Linked DNA regions of Styela clava. The protein of the gene in region 2 binds, or shares a complex with, the protein of the main gene of each other region. Links are inferred from orthologs where the notes say so. Each region holds a gene or a part of one and is shown on either strand. Other genes may lie near its edges.

The links.
Region 1: DNA-directed RNA polymerases I, II, and III subunit RPABC3-like (region 2) and DNA-directed RNA polymerase I subunit RPA12-like share a complex: the UniProt entries of both Homo sapiens proteins name them as parts of the pol I pre-initiation complex. The link is inferred for Styela clava from reciprocal best matches to the Homo sapiens genes POLR2H and POLR1H.

What each region holds. Positions count from the first base shown.
Region 1 is NC_135256.1:9,246,947-9,252,135, forward strand, and holds DNA-directed RNA polymerase I subunit RPA12-like, read left to right. Parts: upstream 1-4,249; coding exon 4,250-4,612; downstream 4,613-5,189. UniProt on the Homo sapiens protein: Core component of RNA polymerase I (Pol I), a DNA-dependent RNA polymerase which synthesizes ribosomal RNA precursors using the four ribonucleoside triphosphates as substrates. Can mediate Pol I proofreading of the nascent RNA transcript.
Region 2 is NC_135255.1:11,093,720-11,100,166, forward strand, and holds DNA-directed RNA polymerases I, II, and III subunit RPABC3-like, read left to right. Parts: upstream 1-3,944; 5' UTR 3,945-4,047; coding exon 4,048-4,185; intron 4,186-4,785; coding exon 4,786-4,935; intron 4,936-5,513; coding exon 5,514-5,681; 3' UTR 5,682-5,945; downstream 5,946-6,447. Other genes in the region: nuclear pore complex protein Nup214-like, read left to right, coding at 1,364-1,523, 1,808-1,921, 2,305-2,335; mitochondrial inner membrane protein Mpv17-like, read right to left, coding at 6,080-6,197, 6,388-6,440. UniProt on the Homo sapiens protein: DNA-dependent RNA polymerase catalyzes the transcription of DNA into RNA using the four ribonucleoside triphosphates as substrates.

The sequences.
Region 1 (5,189 bases), on a different chromosome or scaffold from region 2:
CATGTTTTTTTTTATTTGATAACCACGCCACAGAACTTCCCCGATAAGTATACGCAGCAATTGCGAGAGGCAGAAATGCTAAGATGGGATTTCATCGCATTATAAACCAATATTAGCAATTCTTATATATATTCGCGCATTCCCAGCTGAACAGCGTGAAAAAGATTGTACCCATCTACACACTTTAAGAACTATGTCAGATGAGCGTCATATTATCGAATATCAGTAAAGGAATAGTGCAAAGGGAAAAGACATATAAGGCGAAACTTTCAGTAGTATGCAATCAAATAATCTTATTGTAGAATATATATTTAAAAACATTTCGTCACGCCAACTGCAGTCCGAAACTTTTTGTCTCTGGCTGAGCTTAGATACCAATTGGCACTCATGTAAACTGGTAAGACTGTAAGAGGCACGCGATGGAGCAGATACTAAGAGTATCCATCCCCCAGCTGTCATTTGAGTGGGTACTGCTGTTTTTATTGCAGATGTTACGGATCTTTTTGTATTAAAGATTTACTGGCATCACCGATTTAAGGATGTTGGAAACCAACCCGCAATATTACAAAACTTACTTCCAACACGCGGTTTGAATGAATGAAAAAGCTGAAACTAGTATTCTTTAGAACAGCATACAAATTCTATGGAATGAAATCATACACAAAAGCTCGTCAAAAACCTATAGCTCAATAATCAAATGGAATTTGATGCATGTGCGCAAAAATGTGCTCGTTACCACGTATAACCGAAGCACGCAGGAATATGCGTGTGATGTACTAGTATTCAAAACGTTTGACTCAACTATGTTGGCATAACAGGTGCACATCTCGGTTTCGCATACGCATACCTTCTATCTCCACAAGGATATATTAATTTTGCCAAAGTCAATGCAGCACTGAAAAGTTGCGGTTCTTCCAAAAGAAAACACGTTACACATCTTTAGATACCAGTGGATGGTATTACATGGCCTTGTTCGGAGTGAAAGACGAGGTCAAATATTCCAATCCAATTCAACTAATAAAATATTTCCCAAGTCCCTAAGCTTAAACTAGGAAAACGAAATGCCAGATGTAGTTTGAAGAGCGCAATAGAAAGTGGATAGATGCTGTCGATGGATCTTGGTTTGTATTAGTGAAATAAACTACCATTTATTCTACTAAAATTGAATTTCTGACATTGTAAGGAGATTCAATGTTACTATGTATGCAAACCTAAACCATGTAGTTATGAAATAATTGTTTTTAACAAAAAGGCGCTCTTGAAGTATTTGTACCAAGATGGCGCACAACCTGAACACTGTATGGTTACCAGGTTAGGGTTCAGAATGTGCGTCATCTTGGACCGAATACTTTAAATCCACCTATAAAAAAAAATTGCTCAAGATTACTCCACACCCACCTGGGTATCATTATATATGTCATATACATTATATCTAAACAATAAAAAAAAACTTTATGTTCCAAAACAATGTTAAGGCCCGATTCTGCCGGACTATCTTATCCAAAATGTATAGTTTACAAAAAACAAATTAAAATATAAACCTCACTGATAAATGGTGGCAAAATACACCCATATAATGTGCACGTAAATTAATATGTCCGTTTCTGCTTGTCTGAAGCCCTGCTTAGAGTGATATCGCGTAACGTCATATTAATATATTGTAGCCCAATACATGATCTATGGCTGGACATAAAATAACAAGTCCCTCCTTATGTGTGTGTGGTAGGGAGGCCGCTGCCCTCGCTGAGTTTGTTAACGTAGTCGCAGACGCCATTACGGGTGATCAGCTCTATTTTGTTACTGTGACGTCGCATTGGCGTAATTTTTTGATGACGAAGTCAGGTGAAGGTCATGAATATTATATGCGAAAATTGTTACGCTAAGCCTAATAGAAGGTATTGAGGTATGAAACTACACCCATAGCGAACAGACAGGCGTATTTAACACGATTGCATTATGGTCGCTATTATTAGGCAAGCTCTATTTCGTTATTGTGAATTCGCATTGACGTAATTTTTAGATGACGAAGTCAGGGCAAGGTCAGGAATGATATATGCAATAATTGTTACGCTAAGATAAGTATAAGTCATTGAGGTAAGAAACTACATCCATAGGTGGCATAAATAGTAATCGTCGCTATTATTGAGCAAGCTCTATTTCGTTATTGTGACGTTGCAGTGACGTAATTTTTGGATGACGAAGTCAGGTGAAGGTCATGAATATTATATGCAAAAATTGTTACGCTAAGTTAACTAGAAGTTATTGAGGTAAGAAACTACATCCATAGCGGACACACAGACGTATTTATCACGATTGCATTATGGTCGCTATTATTAGGCAAGCTCTATTTCGTTATTGTGAAGTCGCATTGACGTAATTTTTGGAACATGAAGTTAGGTGAGGGTCAGGAATAATATATGCAATAATTGGTACGCTAAGATAAGTATAAGTTATTGAGGTAAGAAACTACATCCATAGGTGGCATTAATAGTAATCGTCGCTATTATTGAGCAAGCTCTATTTCGTTATTGTGACGTTGCCGTGACGTAATTTTTGGATGACGAAGTCAGGTGAAGGTCAGGACTATTATATGCAATAATTGTTACGCTAAGATAAGTATAAGTTATTGAGGTAAGAAACTACATCCATAGCGGACACACAGGCGTATTTATCACGATTGCATTATGGTCGCTATTATTAGGCAAGCACTATTTCGTTATTGTGAAGTCGCATTGACGTAATTTTTGGAACATGAAGTCAGGTGAGGGTCAGGACTATTATATGCAATAATTGTTACGCTAAGATAAGTATAAGTTATTGAGGTAAGAAACTACATCCATAGCGGACACACAGGCGTATTTATCACGATTGCATTATGGTCGCTATTATTGGGCAAGCTCGATTTCGTTATTGTGACATCGCATTGACGTAATTTTTGGATGACGAAGTCAGGTGAGGGTCAGGAATGATATATGCAAAAATTGTTACGCTAAGATAAGTATGAGTTATCGAGGTAAGAAACTACATTCATTGCGCTAAGGCAAATTAATGTGTCGGTTTCTGCTTGTCTAAAGCCTTGCATAGAGTGAAAGCGTTCCACGTCCTATTAATAAAATGTGGCCCAATACATGATCAGTCTCTGGATATTAAATAACAAGTCTTTATGTCTGCGGCACCTAACCTCAATCATTGCGTGAATTAAATGTTCTTTCTGTTTGTCTAAAGCCTAGCTCAGAGCGGTATCGTATATCACCCTATTAATAGATCGTAGCACAATACATGAGCTATTGCTGGACATAAAATAATAAGTCTTTATGTGTGTGGTACCCAACTTCAACCATCGCGTAAAATAACATGTATTTTCTGCTTGTCTAAAGCCTTGGTTAGAGTTGTATGGTATAACGCTCTATTTTAGATTGTAGCACGATACATGAGCTATTGATGGATAGAAATTGGTCAGAATGGGATATCGTGAACGTTCCTCGGCGACAATTTAGTCGCTTGTGATTCTTGTGTTTATTTTGAGCTCTGTACAACGACCCCGATAAGAGAGAGGTCGCTGACGTATTGAGTTTGTTGACATACTCGTAGGCGCCATCACGGGTGACCGTCGCTATACTTTGGCAAGCTGTATTTCGTTATTGTGACGTCGCAGTGACGTAATTTTTGGATGACGTCATCAGATAGGGGTCAGGAATCATATATCCAAAAATTGTTACGCCACGCCCACTAGAAGTTATTCAGGTAAGAAAGTACATGAGACCCACACTTATTGAGTTTGCCACTTGCTACACTTTAAAGATTATTTCGTCTTTCCAGAATTAGGTTTGCTTTTTTTTGTATATTCATGGGGGTTACTTGAGTCCCTGAAATGTTTCATGTTGCCACTTGCCACTTTAAAGGATAGGATATGATTTACATATTTATCCCGAGGGAGAGGAAAGCCGATAAAACGACTTAATCATATGGCGAACCACCGCCTCTCGTTCGGTTACCAGTCCATCGGGTCTTACGAGGGCACAACAAAATTTGCTATTGCAGTATTGGTTGTATGCAGTTTACAATTTTCCCAACCATGGCATAAATGTTAGCATAAATAATCCTTACGAGTGGAGGGCAACTCGCCATGGCTGCATGGTGGCTAACTCATAACCATCCTCCCTACTGCCTCTCAGTCTCGCATCCTTAATGCGAAATTTCAACAATGTTTTTATACAGGTATTTAGCTCTGTTCTGTAATTAGAAAAATATGAATAAATGTATGACAACAGAAGATGGTTTTTGTTCAAAATGTGGAGCCATTTTACCACTGCCTGTTGATTCTATGCAATCATACATTACTTGCATCTGTAAGTCAAGAATTCCATGTTCAGAGTTTAATAATATGATTGTAGCTAAAGCTGATATAATACTAAATGAAATTAGAGGCAAATCTACAAAGAAAAAGGCAAGGGATGACAAATCTTCTGGTCCTAAGTTAGAAAGACTATGTGGACATTGCGGGCATAATGAAATGACATACAAAACTCAACAAACTCGATCAGCAGATGAAGGAATGACCATATTTTATTATTGCTTGAAATGTGGATCATTAGAAAAGGAAGATTCGTAGAGATTCAATAATAATGCATATGAAAATGTGTGTCTGGATGCCACAGACTGGAAAATTTATGATGAGTGCGGGGAAAGATAAGATGCTGTTGCAGTTATACTGTGTTTATTTTTATCGATGTGTCAAGTTCATGCATCGGGAATGAATAATTGGTTGACTATTTTCATTCCCAAATCCCAACATAGATTGGAACCTAAATGAGAGAGTGGTTATATTAAGATGTATTATAGACTTTCCTCTTGCTGAGTAAAATATTGAAATCATATCCTAATTCTATTAATGTAATAATGAGTTCTGATTCAATTGAGGAGACTGCTACTAATTTTTTTAGTGTACACTGATACATAAGCATAGCTATTCATTTTGCTGTGAATACAGCACTGTGAATCTTGTTTTAAAATACAAGACTTTGACTGGACTCTGTTTTGTTTTCTTGCTATACAACTGATGGTAAAAAAATTTCAATCGAATTATAAAAAATAGGAGTGTTTAGGAGAGTTATCATGAACAAAAAATTTTTTCAATTTAATTCAGTTATAGTTTAATGCTTAAATATTACCTACAATTGAAAAATACT
Region 2 (6,447 bases):
ATTAATGTTGTTAAGTTATATTAAAGCACTTTTTTATTCAAGTATTAATTCTCATGCAACGGCGGATATCGTAGTTTGGTTTTTATATTTCGGACAGAATTGCGAGTTCACATCGGCGGAGATGTTAGAGACAAATATTAGGGAGTGCATTCACAACACAAATCAATTTTATTCTCATTTTTATCTTCTGTGTAGGAGTTGTATCACGGTCCCAATTTTAAACGAACAATATTATCATTACTGACCCCGGGAGGCGATATTTGTGAAGCGGATAGTTGACATTTTTATGCTTTTAATTTTAGATTGCGTTCGTGTTACTTTCGTATTGAATAATAACTAATAGCTCTGCAAATTGGTAATCTCTTGAATACTCAGTGTTGAGTATTTACGTAACTCAGCTTTGGGTTAAATCACTGATACTAAACACATGAATAAATCGGCAATAATGGAATTTCTACATGGTCAAAATGATATATATTTCTTCCCAATATCTCGAGAAATTTTCATAAAATACATTATTTACCTGTCCTACTTATCTGGTTCGACATTTCTAAATTCACAAAAACGGTGTTCACACGCTTTATGCAAAATTAGGAATTGAAAAATATGACGCAAAGAGGCAAGGAAAATTTTTTTTCACATTTATCGTTTCTACCAGTTAGCGATAGCCATCGGTAAATTCTTACCCGTAACTCGTTGTAAATTATTGTTAATAAATTCTATTTTGCTTTTTAATGCGCTGTGCTTTGTATTAAAATAAAAGTGATTTAGTTGGGAAGAGAAAGTCCTTAAATTAGCTTATGACCCTTCTCTTCTTTTAAGCGCCCATAACGGCGGTTAAATTGTTTCATGTCTGTTTCATGGAGAGAAGGGAAAATATGCCTTCCGGATTTGCAATCAACAATTACAAATTCCTAATTATTCTTATCAGCGCTAACTAAAAAAGATAACATGTCTTGTAGACGGAATAAGTCTGTAGATGTTAATTGCATTATGGTGATAACGCGCAGAATAATATCGCTTGGACCGCGAAACCATGACGAGCGATCGTAAAACTAAGCCTTTGCTTTTTTGTAGATGAAATTCACATCAAATTTTTTCTCAAACAGAGAGGGTTACACCCATGTAAAACCGCTGGCTGCGCCCCTGGAAATAATAATTATATACACATTTAGAAATCGATCAACTTTAAGGAATAAGTAGATCTATACAATATAGTTGACATGAAATTTTCTGAGATTAACACTGAATAGTTGAGGTAGCCAATGATGAGAAATTCTGACAGCTTGTCCTATTACTTTTATTCCATTGCTGCTGCTTGTTATATCCTGGATGCACTTAACATTATTGCTAATACTTTTAGGTTTTGGAGCTGCTCCTGCTTTTGGATCTTCTGCTACATTTGGTTCTCCTCCAGCTTTTGGTTCTACCTCTGGTGGAAGCACATTTGGAGGTGGATTCGGTTCACAGCCTGCTTCAACTGGTGGAGCTTTTGGACAAACTGCCAGTGGTGGTTTTTCATCGTAAGTAAAGGGCATTGAAGATGATTCTCTAGTCTCTACTACCAGTCAAATTTGTGAAGCACAGTTCTTATATGTGGCAGTGCTCAATACATATTATATTACAGATGATAAATGACACTTAATTCCCTTTTGGCCATACAGATCCATGAATGGCAAAAACTAAATAAACTATTATGACCAATTTTTCACCAGTCCATGAAGATAACTTCTACAATGGTTAATAACTTGTAAGCTAGTTTTGTCATATTGTGTTTTTTTTACAAATACTCAAACTCTTTTTTTAGCTTTGCCAGTAGTGAAACACCTGGTTTTGGTAATCTTGCGAATCAATCTGGAGGATTTGGAAGTCCACAGCAACAGCAGCCAAGTAGCTTTGGTGGGTTTGGATCGAACACACAGTAAGATGGATTTATAATTATGCAGTCTGTAAGGAATAAAATAATAAATAGAAACTCTATCAGTGCATTGCACACACATAAAAGTTTGCCATAAGTCTTGTTCCCCCAGTGTTTTTTTTTTTTGTAATCTATCGTGGACAAAAATTGCACAACTACAGTATGGAAAATGTTTAATGACCACTTGCAAAGGATACTTACGTTTCTAAAGAAATTTTTTTATTAAAATCAGTATTTGCTACCTAATAGTGATGTGTTTTTTCACAGCTTCACCTATAAATTTTTTTGTTTGAAATGGTTGATAACGACCATGCCATGACTGTAAAGAAGTCTTAAAGACAGTATTTGTGGGGCTGTGTATAAACAATCATGTTTCTTCATTTCAGAAAAAGCCCTTCTTTTAGTGGCTGGAGATAAATGATCTATGGAAAGGTGTACATTTTTGTCCTTGATGCTGAATCATGCCTTGTTAATAATGTCACTGGATCTAAAGTCGTTTTTCACAACGCATGCTACTATTGCTCCTGAACCTGATTGCTACTTTATGGATATGATGATAAAATAATGAAAAACAGTTAATTTATTAGTATAATGTTCATTTGTAAATGTGATAATTTGTTTCATTAAGAACAATAACTTAATATTGTTGGCTGAATTAAGATCCAAATAAATATCATCGGAAAATGACTGGAACGATGTGCAACTTAAAGTTAGTCATCCAGGAATAGTAACTCAACAAAACAAATTATGTACAAAAATTCACAATATAAATATAGTCTAACACTTAGACATATGAATAATTTTAGGAAAATGAGTATATTATAACTCTAGTCGTAATCTCAAGCAATACACGATTTGAATGTTGAAGTATGGTCAGCACTGGTCACATTTAGTTGGGTTGGCATATCGTCCTAATTGTTAGAATTATGCTACAGCACCCCAGATTACACTCCTTGGGTTCGAATCCTGTGGGGGATAATTATGTGCGAGAGGATTGCTGAACTCCTTACCGCCGAAGGGTGGTTCACGTAACCACTGATAGGCTATGGCTCCATTCACCATCAAGCCACTACATCTGAAACAAGTAACTGGCTAAATGATTCTATACCGACATGGACGAGAGGCTGTATCACACCATATGTTTAAGTCGTGTTATCTTCTCTACTCGGCGTGAATGTGTAAATCTTATATTTGGTGCTGTGTGGCATAACTTAAGAATTTTCATGAAATGTTTTTTGATTTGACGGGCAGTAAGGTCTCAACCCCCAGTGGAATGACTGGTATCGGAGTTTAAATACAAATTACCACCAGATGTATTATATTGTGTGGACACTATTTGTCTGATGAGACACAAGAATTGATAGACATTTTATTAGGTCTTCAATGCTTATAATTGTTACATCGCGAGACACTTGTATGTATTTGAAATGAGCATTGATGAGATTACAAATCCGGCTTGATGATTGGCTTATTAACTTGGGTGTTATGAACACTATTGCGCCCGCTTGTGTAATAGTCTCGTCCCCAATGAGGAAATAAGTATTTGGGGCAGCTCAATTATATGGAGATTGGATAATCACTGCCTCTCTGTTGCTATTTAACTTGTTCTTGCTACTTCGAGGAGTCCTCTTATCTTCTTGAACAAATTATGAATAAAGGTTGTGAAACCCCTCTAAAACAGCTTATGACTGAAATCGTCATGGCGGTAGGACCCGCTTTTCATTAATTCTATCAACTATACTTTGTTGCACGATAGTATATTTTATTTATCTGTGCTTTCATGTATTTACAATAATTAGTTTTTACTTATTACCTAATACTACTACACTGGGCTATACACGCTATAAGAGTCCCTGACCTGAACTGGTAACCGGACGAGAGGCCGTGGTTCGCCATATGATTAAGCCGTCTTATCGGCTTTCCTCTCCCCCGGAATAAACATGTAAATCCTATCCTCTTCCGGAATATATGCGATTCTAATTTTAACAGATGGGAACCGATATATCCGTGTAGGAAAATTTTTCAATAAATTGTTTGGTACTCGCGTGCGTTTATGTCGGGCCTGGCTGTTCTGCATTTCTGGGTTTCTGTGTATCGTCTTGCGTTTTAGTTCGTGTGGTCGTTTCGAAATGGCTGGAGTGCTATTCGAAGATATTTTTGATGTGAAAGATGTTGACCCCGAGGGAAAAAAATTTGATCGTGTTTCTCGACTTCACTGTGACAGTGAATCTTTCAAAATGGACTTGATTTTGGATGTAAACACACAGGTGGGTCTTGATTTACAGTAAGGAATGCCTGGATGCAGGACTGTGGCTGAAATAACTAAAATCGGCTTGTGTCTGTAGCAGTCTAGTCATAGCAGCTCTTTTAAACAGCATTCGTAGCTAATTTGCTTTTTCGCTATGAAATTATTAAATACATTAATATGGTCTGGTACGGTACCGTATAGTTTAGTACCACATGCACTTCTAGTTGGCCTGGCTTAACAATTTTTGCATATGTCGATCCTAACCCTCACCTGACTACGTCACAGTGGCGTAATAAGGCCCACCAAAGTATGCGGATGGTCGCCCAAAACGCGCAGACAATCACCCGAAATCGAGCAAGCTATTTCTCTCGTTTTCTTGTCACAACGATCACGATAGGAGAGAGATCGTACTTTAGCGAGTTCGTTATCGGATTTTTCAACTTATGATACTTCAAGGCGAGAGGCCAAAAACATTTGGGCGAGTTCGAGTCGTTAATTTTCAGAGTGCTCGAGTAAATTATTGACTCATTTATTTCCAACACTCGACTTAAAAAAATTTCGAACTACACAAAAATGCATGTCTGTAATCTCAGAATCTTCACAAGATTTAAATGTTCAGGTTTATCCAATGGAACTTGGAGATAAGTTTCGACTTGTTCTTGCAACAACTTTACATGAAGATGGGGCACCAGATGATGGAGAATTCAACCCATTGTGGGATCAGCAACCCACCCGTGCAGATCAGTTTGAATATGTCATGTATGGAAAGGTAAACTTTCTTAATTATTTTTCAGGTTCCCATGCGGGTAAATGATACTTATATTGTTGTGTAGTACTGTTAACAATGATGATTAGTGGATCATTTGTTTTTGTTGTGACATATGTAGAACATCATTCTATTGGAAAAATATGAATCACCATGCAAGCACTGCTGGTGGTTGGATATTCAATTAGCGTTTGTACACGTACACATATAATAGTATTTTAGCTATAGACGCCGTAAACTCAACCATCACTTTGTGTTTCACAAAATTACCTACCAATCCTTTGTGTTTGTAGAATGCAAGGGTGCTGTAGCAAAATTAAAAGATGACTATTCTATTTGATTCAAGAGTTTTGCTGCACACTACACATAGGATTAGTGTTAGTGTGCAGCAAGACTCTTCGAATCAGACAGCTGTGTTTAGTTGGGAATTTATGCTGCTTACTGATTAAATTGATTCAGTAAATTCAACGATATTTCATCCTTAAAAATAATGTTATGAAGATTAGTTTCTAATCAAACATGGTATTATTCATATGTGTTTTTAATTCTTTAATATATATTAAATCCCAATAAATTTTTAGGCATACAGGATAGAGGGGGATGACACTGGCAGCGAAGTTGCATCCAGACTTTCGGCTTATGTGTCATTCGGTGGCCTTCTTATGAGACTGCAAGGAGATGCAAACAATTTACACGGCATGACTGTTGATCAGAATGTTTATTTATTAATAAAGAAATTGGCATTCTGATCAAGACTGTAGCGAGCGATTCGTTGGTAATTCAAGGACAAAGAACTATCATCTTGACTGGCGATACATAGTTACAACAGTCAGGACTGATGAAGCTGCTTTGTTTTCTCAAGATGTAACATCAAGAACAAATCGATCAGTTTTGTGTAAAGGTTACTAAACAGCAGCTCCCCTATTTCCAAGTGGAGAAAAAAACTTGCGACGGTTTAACTATCTCAATTTTATTCTGAAGCAAAGTAGGAAATAATAATATTTAACTTCTGGCTTTGGGTATTGCGTTTGCACAGCAGCACATACATAATACTATAGGCAGTACTCGCAGCTTGGTCTCATCATCCTGATACTTTCTTGGCCTCCTAATGTTTCTAGCCAATGAGCAATTCGTCAACAGTAAAAAATCAGCATGCTTTCTTCTCTCTGCCATCAGCCACATAGACATCTTTATGAATTGTGCGATTAGCTCTGTTGCTCAAATAGGAATTCCAGAACAATGCGACTATTTGGCAGAAGAGCATTCTGAACAAATAATTAATATATCATTATTCATTATGCTCAATTCCCTTATTTTGCTACAAATTTTATATGCTTAATTTACTGGAGCGGCTATGAACTGTCGCACAGCCGCTCCAGTAAATTAACTCTGCCAGAAATCTTAAACGCTGCAGCTTTCAAAAAATATTCATTACTGAGTACTGACTAAACCCACCTGTATTGAAAAGGCACGATTCCAAAATTGATCGTTTGTGATGGAATCCAAACCTAAATT